Linked DNA regions of Caenorhabditis elegans. The protein of the gene in region 3 purifies or fractionates together with the protein of the main gene of each other region. This does not show direct contact. Each region holds a gene or a part of one and is shown on either strand. Other genes may lie near its edges.

The links.
Region 1: the proteins of F09E5.3 (region 3) and dhs-21 fractionate together in Caenorhabditis elegans (co-fractionation; one large-scale study listed by BioGRID). This does not show direct contact.
Region 2: the proteins of F09E5.3 (region 3) and acs-14 fractionate together in Caenorhabditis elegans (co-fractionation; one large-scale study listed by BioGRID). This does not show direct contact.

What each region holds. Positions count from the first base shown.
Region 1 is NC_003283.11:12,731,964-12,735,719, reverse strand, and holds the start of dhs-21 (L-xylulose reductase), read left to right. Parts: upstream 1-2,074; 5' UTR 2,075-2,158; coding exon 2,159-2,216; intron 2,217-3,049; coding exon 3,050-3,159; intron 3,160-3,210; coding exon 3,211-3,511; intron 3,512-3,556; coding exon 3,557-3,675; intron 3,676-3,720; coding exon 3,721-3,756. Other genes in the region: xbx-9 (XK-related protein), read right to left, coding at 1-294, 349-505, 767-914, 1,001-1,467. UniProt on the Caenorhabditis elegans protein: Catalyzes the NADPH-dependent reduction of L-xylulose, D-xylulose, L-(+) erythrulose, D-erythrose, D-threose, L-ribulose, 1,4-dibromo-2,3-butanedione and 2,3-heptanedione.
Region 2 is NC_003283.11:9,506,551-9,510,306, forward strand, and holds the start of acs-14 (4-coumarate--CoA ligase), read left to right. Parts: upstream 1-1,581; 5' UTR 1,582-1,583; coding exon 1,584-1,793; intron 1,794-1,909; coding exon 1,910-2,021; intron 2,022-2,074; coding exon 2,075-2,402; intron 2,403-2,635; coding exon 2,636-2,831; intron 2,832-2,879; coding exon 2,880-3,158; intron 3,159-3,233; coding exon 3,234-3,621; intron 3,622-3,667; coding exon 3,668-3,756. Other genes in the region: haao-1 (3-hydroxyanthranilate 3,4-dioxygenase), read left to right, coding at 1-33, 85-199, 248-333, 379-433.
Region 3 is NC_003280.10:5,372,079-5,375,714, reverse strand, and holds F09E5.3 (Putative deoxyribose-phosphate aldolase), read right to left. Parts: upstream 1,719-3,636; 5' UTR 1,712-1,718; coding exon 1,550-1,711; intron 1,490-1,549; coding exon 824-1,489; intron 778-823; coding exon 694-777; 3' UTR 550-693; downstream 1-549. Other genes in the region: algn-2 (Alpha-1,3/1,6-mannosyltransferase ALG2), read right to left, coding at 288-447; agt-2 (AlkylGuanine DNA alkylTransferase), read left to right, coding at 2,369-2,446, 2,502-2,631, 2,677-2,950, 3,003-3,223, 3,406-3,479, 3,531-3,578. UniProt on the Caenorhabditis elegans protein: Catalyzes a reversible aldol reaction between acetaldehyde and D-glyceraldehyde 3-phosphate to generate 2-deoxy-D-ribose 5-phosphate.

The DNA.
Region 1 (3,756 bases), on a different chromosome or scaffold from region 3:
GTGGACTCTTTTTCTCTCCGGTATCCATTAGCAATGGTTGATTTTGGGTTGCGATGAAGACCTTGTTCTGTGTGGCGGTTGGATTTCCAGTTGGGTGATGTTGACGACGAATCCATTGATCAATGGCAAATCTTGATGAAACGGTTAGGAAGAAGGCAACTAGCATGAACAGGCTCATGAACAAACGAACAGTGTCAAATGTCAGAAGTTGAATTGCCAGTGCAGTGTAGTATACAGTTTTTTCATCGTCCGAGTTCCAAAGGTATGGCGCGAAAAGTTCGGCGATTTTCACATCTGAAAAGAATACGATAAAACCAATTAAAATTCAATTCAGTTGCAAAAACTTACAAAACTCAAACCATTGAGGAATATTCATTACAATTACAGCAGCTGCTCCAAAACCAAGACGGCTACGTGCATCATCGACAACTGGATCACCAGTCAGAACTGCCATGTTTGTTCCGGCTGCTGGTTTTGGTTTGCACATTAATCCAACACACAAGCACTGGAAAACATTTTTGATTTTCTATATTTAAATTTCATTTGAAGGTGGAATTGTTGAATTACTGTCAATAGATATGTGTAGGGGTGTAGAAGTAAAGTGCAAAACAATTACACTGAAAACGATCTTTAAATAGGATCACACCACTTGTTGGCTTCGGTTAAATTTTCTACTATTCTTTGGATTTTTTCACACTTTGTTTAATACCTCACTAATGTATAACTGGGCACTGATGTCCACCTTTAGAGATCAAAAATAGATTACCACTAGAAGCTCGGCAATGATTCCCACTGTGCACAAAAGGTAGGTAAAAAACAGTGCAGAAGCAGGAAGTGGGTTCCATTGGGATGCGATGAAATGATATGAACCAGAGAGTATAGCAGCAAAGAAGAGCACAGCAAAGTAAGATGTCCTGGAAAATATCGGAGGCATCAACTATTCATTTAACAAAAAATGTTATTCAAGATTTTTGCTGTGTCATTCTAACCATTTTCTTACCATGAATCACAAGGATTAAAGTTTTGTCTTTTCCTTGCAATTACAATCAACGCCGAGAGAAAAATCACAGATCCAATGGATGTAGTGAGGACTGCTGTAGTGTAAAACCAGTTGAAGAACATCAGAAAAACCATGTACCACCATCCATAAGCTCCAAGCATGATACTGTAGATAGCCAGTGCAATCTTGAACAGAGATGACAGTCCAAGTGGAATGTAGACAATAGTCAGAAAGACCTTCGTGATATCACGCTTCATTTTCAAAGAAAGCAGAAAGAAAACTGCGATGATTGAAACTTCAATTGCGGAGAGTCCAGCTCCAATTGGTCCTCCGTAAAATGCTTTCTTTGTGTAGAGTTCATCAGGAAAATCACAGCTTATCTTCACTTTTTTCTTCACAGTTGTTGAATTACAAAAAAGAGTGGTAAGTAAAGGAAGACCCGGGACTGGGTCCATGTCCGTCGACATGGTTACACGATCTTTATATCACTTCAATAGTTGGGATTTTATTGAAGCTGAGATTGAGAATAAGAAATGTGGCGAGTTGAGTGGCTAGATTGAACAGGTGAAATGCCATGTTGCTATGGTTACTCGTCACGAAGTTTCAGCTGTTCTTGGACGCAGATCTTGTGATATTGAAATTGGTTGTTGATGTAAAAAAAATTAAGACGGAGACACTAACGAAGCTAGCCAAAACAAACTTTTTACGGAAGGTTGAGCTTAATGTTAAGTGGGACATATACGTTTGATGGTACCTGAAACTACCAGGAAAGTATGATATTTTGCAAGTCTTTGAACTTTTGGGATCATTTTTGCTCTTGAACTCATCCTCTAATATATATCATAAGCAGCAAAAACAAAGTACTCGATTTTGCTGCTTATGATATACTATTTTTTGAAACGAGCGTTTTAAAGAAAATTGTGTACATTGTTTCGGTGCTCAATAGTTTCATTGTTACATACTTTGCAAAATGAAAGGGTTTTCCCTGTCGATCTCGAAATAGAAACCATTATGACGATCATCAATACACAATTGGACGCAGATTGTTAGAGGAATGGCATTGATAACAAAAATAGTCACAATATAAAAGTTGATCGTGTTGGGTAGAATGGGGTAGATACTACACATTTTCTGATATTCATATCATCTGACGAAACAATGCCCGCCAATTACGATTTCACTGACAAACGTATACTTGTCACAGGAGCAAGTCAAGGTAAGTCTTGAGATGTTGAAAAAGTTAAGATGGGTTGTTTCAATACAAACCAAATACACTTGTTTTGGGTTCCATTTAACAAATATGAAATTGAGATAGCTCACTACAGGAAATAGACTTGATATTTAGACAGAAAGTTATGTTGAGATAAGTTTTTGTACCACTCGGAGTTGGTGCCAACTTATTGCCCAACTTTTGACCTATAGTTGAAAACTTCACGGAAAACGTCAAATCTCTTTTCCGACGATTGTTCTATGTTTTGAGTTTAGATATGTTTGCAAGGTTTGAATTGAAGTTGACCAGGTTTTCCCTGGTCTAGTATAAGTTTATTTGTAGTTTGAAGTAAGGAAATGTTAAAAATTATCTGCTCAATTAAAAAAAACCATTAAACATTTGGAGCCACTGAATCAGTTTTCTGAAATCTCATGAAGATTTGTACTTTTTAAGTTTTCAAAATGTTTAATCCATATTAATTTAACATTTCAAATTTAGGCCAATGTGATAAAAGACCGATGGTCTCTCTGATTACTTCCGGTGTAATTATGATCTAGTTCAAATGGAGAGGAAAACGTTGATATACGATAATATGATAACACTATAATCTTTAATCAAAAATTTGTTGTATCATCAACATTTTATCATTCCGTTTGAAAATTATAATTATTTTACGATTATGTTTGAGGAAATTTCTGGCATTGAAAACAAGAGTACATCCTTCCTAGTCGGTAAAAAATATATTACGCGAACAAAGCTAAAAATAGAATAAAAATCGTTCATGAAGACTTCCGATGGGGTGATTGTGAATCATACATCACAATTTATCACATTTGCAGGAATTGGAAAAGAAATCTGCCTTTCGTTGGCCAAAGCTGGAGCGCAGGTTATTGCATTCGCGAGAAATGAAGCAAATTTGTTGAGTCTTGTCAAAGAGACTACTTCTTTGGTAAGTGAAAATATAAAATATTACACCAATCTGATTAAATTAATATTTCAGAGATATACAATAATTCCAATTGTTGGAGATGTGAGTGCCAATGAAGAGGTCCTTTTCAAACTTATCGTACCACATTTCCCAATTCATGGTCTTGTAAATAATGCTGGAATTGCAACAAATCATGCAATTGGACAAATTACTCAACAATCAATTGATAGAACATTTGCAGTCAACGTAAGGGGACCTATTCTCATTGCACAATTAGTTGCTAGAAACTTTGTGGATAGACAAATCAAAGGATCAATTGTTAATATTTCATCACAAGCAGCCATTCGTCCATTGGATAATCACACTGTTTATTGTTAGTTTAAAACTTTACTGAAATAATGTACATCTGAAAGTTCAGGTGCATCAAAAGCTGCTCTTGATATGGTCACAAGATGTCTTGCAAATGAATTGGGATCCCAGAATATTCGAGTTAATAGTGTCAATCCAACTGTTGTGATGACTGATATGGGAAGAGATGTAATAATTTTCAAATTGAAAAGAGAGCATAATTAGACTTTTTAGAACTGGAGTGATCCTGATAAGAAGAAGAAGATGCTC
Region 2 (3,756 bases), on a different chromosome or scaffold from region 3:
AGAATTTATCTATGATCATATCAGTGAAGTGAAGTAAGAAATTAGTTGGTTTTGTTTCGGATAGTTAATTTGAGAAGTTTTCAGAAACGGACCAGTGAGAATTTATGGAGCACCTGAGTACAAAACTGAAGTTATGTTGCTAGGAGAGGGATCTTATGATTTGGAAAGTGGAACTGTAGAGTTGCTAATTTGGTTGCAGGTATGGCAAAAACAGAAAAATCCCAAAAAAAATTCATGTATCATTTAGGAAAACACATTTGCGGTCGTAGAAGAGAGCGGGTTCACTTATGCAATGAAATCGGAGACCATGGTTAGGATAAAACCGAACACAAAGTAAGAATACGGAATTATAGGTTCTTTGAAATAATTTTGTTTTAGGTGTCTTCTTAATGTCAAAGGAGGATTTGCTATCACCATCAGAATGCCAGCATAATTTTTTTTTTCAATTTTGTAAAAGTCAATTTCCATATAGGCTGATTGAATGAATGCTTTTTTCAATATTTCTATCTTTATTCCAAAATGTAATTTCAATTTTGATTTATAACAAAATGAATGACATGCAATCGTGGCCAACTGATAACATCAATTCCGTTTCATTATCATCGATGTCAAATGTCTCGTGTAACACACGCTGTCGGTTCAGCAAAACCATCATGTTCTTCAAAGCTTCAGAAAATTTGTACTTTCAGACCTCGTTGTTCGTTTCAGGAAATTATGTCACTGTAAAAACTGTAAAATTGGTTAAAAATACAAAGAATCCAATTTTTGTTTTGTAGTTAGTTTACATAACTATTTTTAGTATGATTTCTATTTCATTAGAAAAAAAAACGTTAACTCATTCCGAAAATTTTTTAGCAGAAAAATAATAAATGCCTTTTAGCCGTAATTTTCAAAGGGGTTGTTTTTAAATTTGATGGGGAAGATTGAAAATAATAACTTAAAATAACTTCTCGGTTGGAAAAAAACTATAATTTAGAAAATGTTCACAATACCTCATTTTTTACTGTCAAATCGTCACGAGAACTTTGATTGTTGAAATTTGGCCAGTACTTCCTTGTTTTGAGCATCTTTTTAATATGATCAATGACGTACAATCCAAGTTTCAGATCTTTAAAAACATCTGATTACGATTACAGATCTTTTATTTTATTGTTCATAGCCCATTTTTCGTTTTGCAACCCTTATCATTAATATGCCCTTTTTGTGTACATTTATTCTTTTTCTTTCGTTGTCTTCATTGAGTATTAACTGAAATTGTCTAGGATTATGAGCATCGGAAACTGAAATGATAAGTATTTCCCGCGCTCATGTGGTTTTTTTTTTAATTTTCTAACGGTTTTTCCTCAACAGTTGAATCAATGTTATAAATTGCCAAAAAACAAAGACTACAATAAATGGACCACATTATAACGTCTAAGCACTGTAGTTTTCCTATTTACTATTATCAACTGTCGTCTTTATCAGTCTCTATCTTTTTCTAAATTGACCTTCGGCCACACTGTAGGCTACCCATGCTGTCCTCTTGCCCAGTTCTTATATTTTGATTGTTATTGCTAAATTCATTTATTTTTCAAACTTCAGCCATGCCACACGACTCTACATATCCACCAGTGAAGATTTCCGAGCGTCCGTACCATGAGATGCTCCTTGATGCAATTGATAAAACAATTGCCGATGGAAAGAATAAAATTGCATTTGTGAGCGGAGATAATCCAAAACATTTCATTACTTTTGAACAACTTCGTAAGGATGCTTTTGCTGTCGCTATGTATCTTCATAGCATTGGGTTCAAGGTATGTGGCATTATGTTAAAAATTTGGGAATTTTATAATTCAACAAGAGAAAGGAAGTATTTCAAAAATCTTTCAATTTGTTCAAGACAATGCCTTAAATTTTTGATATCTTTTAGAAAGATGTTGCTGCTGTTGTTCTTCCAAACGTCTGGCACTATACTTCATTTTTCATTGGATGTGCCATCAACGGTGGAGCTGTATCTGGAGCTAGTGCACTTTTCACTGACTGTAAGTTAAATTGATGAAAGTTACTTTCACCAACCCGCAATTTCTGTTTTCAGATGAGCTTCAACGTCAATTTGTTGATTCTCGCGCAAAGGTTGTTTTTACTTACGAAGATTTTCTTCCAAAAGTTCTTCTTGCTGTGAAGCAATCGCCAAACATCCAAAAGATCATTGTCATCCCAAAACCAGTTGGATCTTCTCTTCCAGCAGGAGTTGTATCTTGGAATGAAGTGGTTTCAACTCCAGTCACTGCTCTACCACAAGTTCCAATTGATGTTCACAATGATTTACTCGTTCTTCCATACTCGAGTGGTACCACTGGACCACCAAAGGGTGTTATGCTATCACACTACAATTTTACATCCATGATCTCCATGTATCTTGCGTAAGTTTGAAATTTAAAGATGATGATGATGAGACAGAATAGGTGTGAAAGTACAAAGTTAACAGTAAAATGGTTACACTTTAACCTTCCTATGACGCAAAAAAAGATAAGGGCCAAGAAAACAATTTCATAGATCAATACAGAAGAATCAGTATAACGTTATGTACATTTTTTGAAAAGTAATTGAAAAAAAACGAAAATATAATTAGGTTCATATACGACACAACTTTCAGAATTGATAAATCACACATTTTGGATGTTCTTGATCCAAATTGGGACTGCTACAATGAGAAAGCTCTCTTGTTTCTTCCATTCTATCATGTCTATGGATTTGGTCTTCTTAATCACTGTCTTCTCAAGGGAATGACTGGAATTGTCATGAGCCATTTTGAGCCGAATAATTTTTTGACTGCCGTTCAAAACTACAAAGTATAGAATCAAAAGTTCATAAATAACATTTTTAATTTAATTCTTTAGGTCCGCTGTCTTTGCCTAGTTCCACCAATTATGGTTTTCTTGGCCAAGCATCCAATTTGCGATAAGTTTGATCTATCATCAGTGCAAATGATAATGGCGGGAGCAGCTCCAGCTGGAAAGGATTTGATTGAAGAATTGAAGAGGAAGTATACAAATTTGAAATACATCCAACAAGGATATGGAATGACGGAATGTTCAATGGCTAGTCATCTTCCTGATTTAAGAAATGATCAACCATATGGATCCGTTGGAAAACTTGCTTCAAATTTGGTTATGAAGGTGAGAATTTCCGAATCAAGTTTTTCAATGTTTAAAAGGAAACAAAAGTATTCAATTTATACAAAAGTTATTCAGATTGTGGAACCAGGAACCGACAGAGAGCAACCGGTTAACCAACGAGGAGAAATTTGTGTTCGTGGTCCAACAATTATGCTTGGGTATCTCGGAAGACCAGAAGCAACAGCCAGCACTGTCATCGATGGATGGCTTCACACTGGAGACATTGGTTATCTCAATGAGGATGGAAATTTGTTTATTGTTGATCGACTTAAAGAGCTAATCAAGGTCAAAGGGCTTCAAGTACCACCAGCTGAACTTGAAGATCTTCTTCTATCTCATCCAAAGATTAGAGATTGTGCAGTTATTGGAATCCCAGATGCTAAAGCTGGAGAATTACCTAAAGCATTTGTTGTAAGAGCTGATAACACTCTCACTGAACAAGAAGTTAAGGACTTTGTTAAACGTAAGTTATGAATAGTGCATTTTCTGTATAACTATAATACTTTCAGCAAAAGTGTCTCCTTACAAACAACTCGAAGGTGGTGTCGAATTTATTGAAGAAATTCCAAAGTCCGCAGCTGGAAAGATTTTGAGACGA
Region 3 (3,636 bases):
CTGTAATTTCAAACTTTTGTTGTCGCGGAATTTTCATCAATTTTTATAGTTTTTCGATAAAAATATATTTATTTATGTGATATCTAAATATATCAACAAAACACGAATTTGGAAATTTTTTCAATTTTTTTTTTGCGAATTTTGAAAAATGAATGTTTTTATTGAAATTTTTGAGTTTTAAATATTTAAACAAATAACTTTTAACACAACTTTGTCGTGTCAAGACCAGTTACCGTATTTTTGGCACAAAAAAACGCGAAATTTTGCATTAAGGCAATACGACTCACCCAAATCTAGAGTTTCTTGGAAACAATGCGATCTACTATATTGATTCGTGAAAATCCGAACAGAGTGTCCTCGATCCTGTAATCCAACAGCAGCATCAACAATCAATCGTTCGGCTCCACCGATGCCTAGATCTGGATGGAGAATGGTTACCCGGACCATACTACCAAATTCAATATTTTAATTCTTGTATTCAATTTTTTTAAAATATGAGCATGGTAATATAAACATAATGTTATATAAACTTTTAATTTTTAGAAAATAAAACAATTTATTTATTCATTCCTTAAAATCTCTGTAAAACTCGGGGTGGCACAACCTATTGTAACATGGATGCTATGGCAATTCGAAAAAAAAAGTGAATAGGGAAAACCTTAACAAAAAAAAAAGATGATAACAAAAACTGATCTAAAGACCCTTCAGACAATCATCAAGAAGACTGCTAGCTCCGATGCGGAACAAGTGAGGATTGAGCCATTCGTCGCCGAGAATCTGAAAAATGAATTTTATAATTGTATTTAGAATAAGTAACACTCACATCTTTGACAAGAGCAACATAAGAGAGTGCTTCATCAACAGTTTTGATTCCTCCAGCTGGTTTGAATCCAACCTTCTTTCCAGTGAGCTCATGCCAACGCTTAATGGCAGTACACATAACGTAAGCAACTTCCAATGTGGCGTTCACAGATTCTTTTCCAGTTGAGGTCTTGATGAAATCGGATCCAGCGAGAATACTTGCCCAACTTGCTCTGTAGACGTTGCTCAAGGTTTTCAGCTCTCCAGTTGCCAAAATAGTCTTGAGATGAGCCGAGCCACAAGCCTTCTTGCATGCCAAAACCTCATCGTGAACAGTTTTCCAATCCTCGTCCAATGCTGATGCTCTGCTGATGACAATATCGATTTCAGTAGCTCCATCAGCAACAGAGAGCTCGACTTCAAGAACTTTGGATTTCAAATGATATTGTCCAGATGGAAATCCTCCGGCTACTGAAGTGATATTGGAGTTTAACTTCGAAGAAGCAAGGAATTTCTTGACATCGGCGATTCTTTGAGGATAGACGCAAACGGATCCACAATGAATTGATGGATCAGTTGGGACTGGATTGATTGCTCTTTTTGCCAATGCAACAACTTTGCTCGCAGTATCATCACCATTCAAGGTAGTTAGATCAATATATTGAATTACTTTGCGAATTTCGTCTTTCTGAAACAAGCATTTTAATAGAAACAAAGAAGAATTATGCTTATGAATTATTAATCTTACATTTCTCAAATTCTTCGCTTCTTGCTCGTATTTGCTGATGGCCTGAGCAATCTCCTGATTATCAAAATCGCGTCCAACTTCTCTTTCGAATGTGGCCACGTCGAAACGGCCCTTGTAAGTGTCACGAACGAATGAGAAGAGTGTTGGCACGATCGTCGCCATTTTGTGACTGAAAATTGAATATTTTTAGAACATTTTTCGAATAAAACGAGGAGTTGAAGAGGAATTATATAATTAAAAATAAAAATCGTGGCGCACCGAGCAAGATTGGTGCAAACACTAGAACGGAAAAGTGCACAACTTTTTTATCTTGGTGGGAAACAAGAAACAATTTTTTGTTGAAATAATAAATACTTCACAGCATTGAAACAATCAAAAAATAATAATTGTTTCAAATTAGAGAAAATAAGAATACTTTTTGTTCGCGAAAATGGCAAGAAAAATCGTGAGACCAAACCGATAAAATAATTTCTTCTTTATCGTTTTGTTCCAGTTGATAACAATTTTGATGATTGAGGCCATTCGATAAGTTATATGTGATCCGCTTATCATCTCAAAGGTCGTTTATTGAAAAAATAAGAATTATTTATAATATGCGCATTTATGAAAGTCACAAAATTACAATAAACCACTTTTAAAATCTTATTCTACACAAACCTACTGTAAAAGTTGTAGAGAAAACTGAAAGTTGAAGAGAGCATAGAGAAATAGAGATATACAACTGCTGACGTCTTTTCGGCACTCAGCTGACGCACTTTGCGCGCATCTTCGCAATAGATTTTCCGGATTTACTCTATTTTGGTAATACTGAATTCAAGTATGGCAAACGACGAAGAGTTCTTTATTGTTCGATGTCGAGGACCTTCAAGCTATCGTGAATCCGTCTATAAATACCTAGTAAGTTTTTTTTTGTATTTTTAGTTACGATAAATAAAATTCGCAATATTTTCAGACAGGACAACCATCTGATTGGAATCGAAATTCTGTGTTTTTGAGAAATATGCATGTCGGAAGAGCAAAAAATGTCAAAGAAATCTTCAATTGCATATTACAGACACAACCTCTTCCTGTTGTACAACCTTGTAAGATTTTTTTAAACAAAAATTTGTATTTGATTGATTTTTAAGGTCACCCAGTAAGACAACCACGCGAAAGCTTTTACTCATCTCATGAACATGATCCAATGGATGAAGTTTTACTACAAGAAGTGAAGGAAGAAGCTCATTCACTGGCTTTCAAAGGAATACCAATTGAAACCAAGGGTCCTACACCATCATCAACTATTATGAATCCTGAAGTTACGCTTAGAGACGTTCTGACGTTTCACAAAAATATTAAAAGAAGACCACAAGAGACAAAACCGGCAAAATTTGATTTCTCCGCAATGCCATCAACTTCTCGGTAAGTTTCGTGATTTTTTCAAATTTAAAATTCAAAGTAAAAAACTTTTCAGACTTCCACCTACATCTCCAAAACGCTACCGCCAGTTTGCACCTCCTCCAATCTCTATGAAACAGTCTCCCAAAATTTGTGCCAAAACTGTTTCGTGTCCGAGTACGTCCGAAGTAAAGAGCCCACCAAAAAAGATGATTATACAGAAGATACAGAAACATCAGGAAGCACCGAAACCAGCAAAAGTGCCAAAAATCAAAGGCGAAAAGAAGAAAAAAGATGGTGAGTTATTTTTAAAAAAATCGATAGATGTCTGATACAAAAGTGTCTATTGCACCATGTTATTCTAAAATTTTTCATTTGAAAATAACTATATTTTTACATTGTTTTTTGAAGAAAAATTCTGGAATGATATGGAAAAAATCGTATTCTTAGGTATCTGTTACTATAATAAACTTATTCAGGTCGACAAGATGAACAAGAAGAAATTGATATTGAGTTGAAACTCAGCAAATCTACAGTATCCAGTCAGACATTGGTAATAATGAAAATAACTTTTTAAAAATTAAAAAAAAAAGTAATCTTTTAGAAACGACACAACATCAGTTTCGAACGAAAACCACAAAGAGGAATTTGAATGGAAAAAAATGATTGATTCATTATTATATGTATAATTGTATCCTATTAAGTATTTG